Linked DNA regions of Cricetulus griseus. The protein of the gene in region 1 interacts with the protein of each later gene in a biochemical or structural test. Links are inferred from orthologs where the notes say so. Each region holds a gene or a part of one and is shown in the gene's direction. Other genes may lie near its edges.

The links.
Region 2: the proteins of paired box protein Pax-3 (region 1) and Sox10 form a complex in vitro, tested with the Homo sapiens proteins (2 studies listed by BioGRID and IntAct). The link is inferred for Cricetulus griseus from reciprocal best matches to the Homo sapiens genes PAX3 and SOX10.

What each region holds. Positions count from the first base shown.
Region 1 is NC_048595.1:431,082,540-431,086,363, reverse strand, and holds part of paired box protein Pax-3, read left to right. Parts: intron 1-2,988; coding exon 2,989-3,235; intron 3,236-3,729; coding exon 3,730-3,764; 3' UTR 3,765-3,824. UniProt on the Homo sapiens protein: Transcription factor that may regulate cell proliferation, migration and apoptosis. Involved in neural development and myogenesis. Transcriptional activator of MITF, acting synergistically with SOX10.
Region 2 is NC_048595.1:376,276,829-376,279,970, reverse strand, and holds part of Sox10 (transcription factor SOX-10), read left to right. Parts: intron 1-2,252; coding exon 2,253-2,521; intron 2,522-3,142. UniProt on the Homo sapiens protein: Transcription factor that plays a central role in developing and mature glia.

The sequences.
Region 1 (3,824 bases):
AATTGTCTTTCCCATGTGCTTGTTTAACTTGACACAGCTTATTCACAGCACACATGTGCCCTTCCCCCACTCTTTCCCTTCTGTAAGAAAAATCACATTTTCCCCTTGTTTGTTTGCCCTGTCTGTTCTTTTCATCAGGCCAGCTCATGTACTTCTTGAGTTGAAAGCAGGGTGTTCCATATACCAGGCTGATCTCAAAGTCACTCTGTGGCTGAGATCAGCCTTAAACACAGGATTCTTCTGCCTCTATCTCCCAAGTGCTGGGATTATAGTCATGGGTCCACTACACCCAGCTGTAGATTATATTTTAAGGACTTTAAAAATAGACACTCCTAACTTGGATTGAAATAAAGTATTTTGTAAATTAGTGAACCAACAAAAGTTGAAGAATTTTCCATGTACTCACTGAAAAATTGATCTATACAAGCTCAAAGGATGGAGGGGGGGAAGAGGATGAAGAAAAGGAGGAGGATTCCCTAGAGGTAGTAAGCATCCAGGAGATCATTTAAATACATTCCTAGTTACATTCAAAAAATGCAAATGAAATGAACTCATCAACAGTGCTGGGCAGGGTACCACTAGAGGCTGTGTTCTAGTGACTGTCTTCCTGCAGCTGTTGGCCTACTGATTTTCACTTGATGTTGTCAAGGTCCCTTACTTGTAATCCCCAATAAAACTATGCTTGTCTACTGATGATTAAATTTTTGATAAGACTTTTTTCTTTTTTTCCTTCCTTCCTTCCTTCCTTCCTTTCTTCCTTCCTTTCTTTCTTTCTTTATTTTATTTTTTATTTTTTATTTTTTATTTTTTGCACATCTTGCCATATAGCTCCAACAAATTTTCATCCCTGGGATGACTTCAAAAATTTGGACTTCTTGTGTTGCTTTGACTGTTCTTGCCTGCCTTCTAGTGTGAGTTTGTATCAGTAATTGAAAGGCTGAGCAGGGAGTTGAGTGACCTTTTAGATGGAGAAAGGCACTAAGCACTCCTCTGGGATGGTACCCTGTGGCCCACTGAAGATGGATCAGTTTAAAATTTTATTAAGATTTTGTTTACATCTAAGGTTATGTAAACTTTCCCCAAAGGAAGTTATGGGATCTTGTTCTCCAGTCTCAGTAAGAAAGCTTTATGGGGTTCATGAGTAGCTTCCAACACTAGTGTGATAGAGCCCTTAGATCCAGGAGTCTGTTGCCAGAATTGCCTGTCTGTGAACAGAACTCCATGCTTAGCACAGAGGGCTGTGGTCTGGGTTTATTTGGGCAGGATCCTTGATGCAGCTGAGGGGTGCCTTCACTTAAATACATTTTTAGTTGGACGGTTTTTCTTGTGGGGGGGTGTTCTTCACCTACTAGTAGATTTCTTCTGCAGTTGCTTTTTGGGAAAGGTCACTTTCTTTCCTGTGGACATTTTCTAGTTTTGAATTAATTATCCACTGACATTCCATGATGAAAGGGTTGGAAGGGCCAGTGCATATGAATTTGGGAAAAGCTTCATGGGTCTAACCAGAGGGTTTTTGCTCTGTGATTACTATTTGATATAGTGTCCTCATCTCTGGGGTCATTTACAACCCAAAAAAAAAAAAAAAAAAACCCACGTGTGTCCTTTTCAGCACCCTTACGTGTAAACCGTGAGTCTGAGAAGGAAGAAATGGATAGATAATAGAAGCAAGTGCTTGTAGGATCTATTGATTTGCTTTGGCTTTTTGAGACAAGGTCTCAAGTTATAGCATAGGTCAGCCTCCAACTCAGGGCAATCCTTTTGCCTCAGCTTCTGTGTGCTTGGATTGTAGACCTTGGCCACCATGTCTGTCTGCTTGGCATCACTGACTTCCAAGCAGTGGGGGTTGGGGGGTGTGGTAGGAAATGCAGCAGATATCATGGCTCTCATGTGTCAAATCAAAGTGGCAAAGTGAGATGACATAGAAGGCATAATGAAGGAAGCACCAGGGGACCCTGGGGAGAGGGATGATCTCTAGGTGCTGATTGATGAACCAAAGAGAAGCTGTTCTGAGAGGGAACGTGATGAAAAAAGACATGGAGGTCTCAGGATACATGCACAAAAACTTGACAGATTTATTAATTTTCTATTTTTTACAGTGCTGGGAGGTCAAACTCAGGGATTTGCCACAGAGTTACATCTCCAGCCTCGACTTCTAGTTTACACATACACACATTTAGATACATATGCAAACATTATATATATATATATATATATATATATATATATATATATATATATGCACACACGTACATATGAACGAATACACATATGTACACACATGTGCATATATACATGTACAGGCACACATATGTGCCTACACATACACTCAAATATGTGCAGGTGACTTTTGAATTGGTTGGCTGGGATTGCAACTGTGTGGTAGTGTACTTGCTTAGCATGTATAAGTCCCTGAGTCCAATCCCCAGAAACACATATGCACTCATATGTATGGGTGCTTTTGAGTGTGCGTGCGTGTGTTTGTGCATGTGCACACGAGAACACACACACACACACACACACACAGACACACACACACAGACACACAGACACACAGACACACAGACACACACACACACACACACACACACACACACACAATCACTCGGGTGTCCAGATGTACTATATTAGGAGTTTTTCTGTATAGACTGATATAATGTCTCCCTCTTTGTGTCACTTCTTTACTTCTCTTTGAAATTCCAGTCTGATGTTATCACAGCAGACATGGTGTAATCTCTCCTTCTCTGCCTTCCTCTTCTCCTTCCTTCTTTTCCTTCTCCCTCCCCTTCCTTTTTCTGAAACTACAGTCAGATGTTATCGTTGGGTGAGGTCATGTGGCTGCCACTTTAAATGGAGGTCAAAGTGCTCAGAACACTCCTCAACAGATCTGTAAAGACATAAAAGTTGCCCTTTCAAGACCTTTTGATGGTTCTGGGTTGCCATCTGTTTCTGCCCACACTTTAACTTCTTCCAATCTGCCTGTTATTGCAGGTAATGGGACTTCTGACCAACCACGGTGGGGTACCGCACCAGCCTCAGACCGACTATGCTCTCTCCCCTCTCACTGGGGGCCTGGAACCCACGACCACGGTGTCAGCCAGCTGCAGTCAGAGACTGGAACATATGAAGAATGTGGACAGTCTTCCCACATCTCAGCCCTATTGTCCCCCCACCTATAGCACCACAGGCTACAGTATGGACCCTGTCACAGGCTACCAGTATGGGCAGTATGGACAAAGTAAGCCTTGGACGTTCTAGGGGGTAGTTCCTCCTGGAAGGGAGAGAGATCACCTCTTGCCTGAGAAAGGGGACCTGGAAGTGTGATTAAGCCTTTCATCCCAGTATCAGTTTTGTGGCAAATCCAGCTAGCTGATGGCTACAGCTCAGGCTCCCTTGTGTAATTATTTTCTTAACTGATGTCAATAACATCTTGCAGTTATTAATTGCTGGGACATAAAGCCGGATTGTCAGTAGGTAAAACACAGAGGTTGGCCAAAATGAAATAACCTCTGGCATTAGAAACACATGTTCTTAATGAGGTCAGCGCCAGGATCATATGGGGATAAGCCCGGGACACAGAGTTGTGTCAAACTTGTCTCAGGAATAAAAATATTAGTCTCAATCCTTTGATACCGTGGTATTAAATATGACATTGTCAGCCTGTAGCTGATCTTGCCCCTAACTGTGAATTGTCCCAGCATGACCTAAAAAGCTGCGTGTGTTTCCTTACAGGTGCCTTTCATTATCTCAAGCCAGATATTGCGTAAGTGAACTGTCCACTTGGAGCTAAACTGGCCCTGTTTCCGGCCTCCACAGACTAGACATGA
Region 2 (3,142 bases), about 55 Mb from region 1:
CAGCAGTCCACCTGGGGCAGGGAAGGCAGGAGAGCCCTGATGGCTGTGGGCCCAGCCCCAGGGACGGGAGGTGGCAAAACAATACCAAGGAGCCAAGACTGTGTCAATAGGTGGTGGCTCCTTGGGCCCTGGATGGGGGTCCTCAGAGACACTGGAATGTGGGCTGGGCTGGGCCGGCCAGTTTCTCCAAGAGTCTAGACATCTTTCCCAAGCTCCTGATTCCAAGGACATAAGGAGCGTAGATGGTTGGTTAGACAGAAGTGGAAAACATTATAAGCACAGACTGAGGAGAGCGTGCCTGAGGTTGGGATCAATGCTCTTGAACACAGGTCCTGGGTGGTCATGTGAGTACTTGGCACACTAACCTTGGCTGCCATCTGGGGAGGAACCATTACATGCTGATCCATGGGATGTTTGGTGCTGCTTAACCTGTATGGAAAGTAGTCTGAGCCAGGAAACTAGGACTAGTTTGCATCTGAGCTCCTCCGACAGGGGCCTCATAGGCCTCTCCTTGCCCCACGTTGCACAGGCTCTTGGCCTAACAGGAGGGCACATATAACAGTAGCCAGTGTCCCACAAGGAGCTGCCCACTGGGCTGGGAACCAGCCTCTTTTTCCATCCACCTCTTCCAAACCCAGAGGCGGGTGGAAAGAAAGGGGGCAAATGAGTACTGAGCTGGGGTGGGGGTGGGGGCGACAGTGGAGAAGGGCAACCCTGAACGTAAGGACTTGTATAGGAGTGAAGGTTGGCTGTGGGGATGGGGTGGGGTGCATGAGGAGAGCTGCACAGTGTTGGCACAGAGGGGCTAAGATTGGAGCTGGCACCACAGCACCCCCAGGTTCCTGTTAGGGCTAACTGGGCACAATATAACGTGGGAGGTGATGGCAGGATCCAGTGTTACCATCTTGCCTCACTTCTGGTATGTGTGGCCCTCTCCCACATTCCTGGCCATTTTCTTGGTGATTTCAGATTGCCAGCCAGGAGGGGGACACTGAGGGGCGAGTGTCCAGTGTCACCGGCCACCCCAGGAGCATCTGTGCTGGGCCCATGCTGTCAGAACTGTACCACCCTGTTATGGGGTTCTTTCTAAGGCTGGGCCTTGGGGGTCTCCATCAATCCTGAAAGTCCACTGACCCTAATGGAGTCTGGCTTCACTAGAGGGTCCTTTGGGGAATGCCGGGAGGGTGCAGGGCGGACCAGGAGGCTAAGCTGCAAAGGAATGCTGCTGCTGGCTAGAAAGTGCCTGGTATAACCAGCCCGGAGAGGGGGCTTGGTCTTCTGTTGCCTAGGAGAAGAGGGCACCAATTGAGTGTCCCTTAAGTGTAAGAGTGGTCCCTGTGTCTGGAGTCTATGGATCTGTTCTTTCCCCTCTTTAAGATGCCCCACCCTGTCTTCCTTACCCTGGGGCAGGCAAGTCCTGGTACCCTCCACCCTTCAACTTTGACCTGAGCTGGAGTCATATGGGTGGGAGCACTGAAATGAGGGCTTCTCCATGCTGTGGGCTGGCCTCAGATTCCTCTACCCTCTGTCACTCCCGGGTCCCAGATATGGGATCTGTCTCTGGAAACAGTGCCCCCATATTGAAGGGGGCACACACCTAGAACTCAGTCCCACCATAGGGAAATTTCACCAAATCATGTTTTTTAGAGTTGAGGATCTACCCTTGGGCTCTCCTGTGCAACTCCTCCCCAAGCACCATTAGAGTAGCACCCATTTTCTCTAGGTTCCTCCCTCCCCAGGCCCAGGGCACTTCATATCTATATTTCTGGTGACCCCACCCCCAAGAGAAGTAGGTGAGACCATCCCCGCTTTGTAGGCAGAGAAGTAACTGAGCAAAGTCTAGCATACAGCTCGTAAGTAGCAGAGACTGGGTTCCTCTGCAGCCATGTGCTTCTCTCCACACCCCTCTAGGGTGTGGCTCACCCTTCCATGAGGTGGCCAGTTCTACTTGCATACACTTCAGTAACAGGAGCATTTCCCTCTCCTGAACCTGCCCTTTGTAACTCCTTTTTGACTGTGTGCTCAGAGACTGGCCCCTGGTGTCCTCTAGCCAATGAGAGGTAGGGGACAGAGATCACAACCACCTCAGGCTGGGACTCCTTGGTCTGGCATTTTTGGGGGCACTAACCATAGGGCACAGCCCTACCTTGGCTCTGCCTTCTGGGTGCCCCATCCCAGGAATGAAATTCCGATGGAAGCTCACCTGGGTGCCCCAGCACTCATGTTGGCTCTGGTGTGTCTTCCACCTCTAGGTTGCTGAACGAGAGTGACAAGCGCCCCTTCATTGAGGAGGCTGAGCGGCTCCGGATGCAACACAAGAAGGACCATCCGGACTACAAATACCAACCTCGGCGACGGAAGAATGGGAAGGCAGCCCAGGGGGAGGCAGAATGCCCAGGCGGGGAAGCTGAGCAAGGAGGGGCTGCTGCCATCCAGGCCCACTACAAGAGTGCCCACCTGGACCACCGGCACCCTGAAGAAGGCTCTCCCATGTCAGATGGGAACCCAGAGCACCCCTCAGGTGAGTGCTGGGTTGGGAGCTAGCAGTTTGCTGTTGGCAGAGCTGCAATGGGGCTGGAAGAAGCCAAGCAGTGGAGAGTTCCCTAGCCTGAGCTGGGATCTGGGAAGGGTTGGCCAGGGGTGCAGAGTACAGAACCCAGAGGCAGTTCAGTGGGGATTCTGGTAGCTTACAGTTAGGCAAGGTGTCTAGAGAGGGTCACTGGTGCTGGGAAAGGAAAGCCAGTTCAGAAAGCCATGGAGGCCATGAGGTGAGAAGCAGTTACAGGAAAAGGGCAGAGGGATGCATTTGAGAAACAAACAAAAATGACAGGTGGTGGCACACACCTTTAATCCCAGCAGAGGCAGAGGCAGAGGCAGGTGGATCTCTGTGAGTTAGAGGCCAGTCTGATCTACAAAGTGAGTTTCAGGACAGCCAGGGCTATGCAGAGAAACCCTGACTGGAAAAACCAGAAAGGTGCATGAGGGTGGGGGTGGCGGGGGGTGGGGGTGGTGGTGATCAACCGTGGATGGAGAGGAATCCTCTTCCAGCTCCTGCCCTAGGGTGATGCTGAGCAAGCCCATGCCACAGAGGGCCCAGACATGGCCCATTCATATTTAATTCTCATTGAGGATGTGAGCTGAT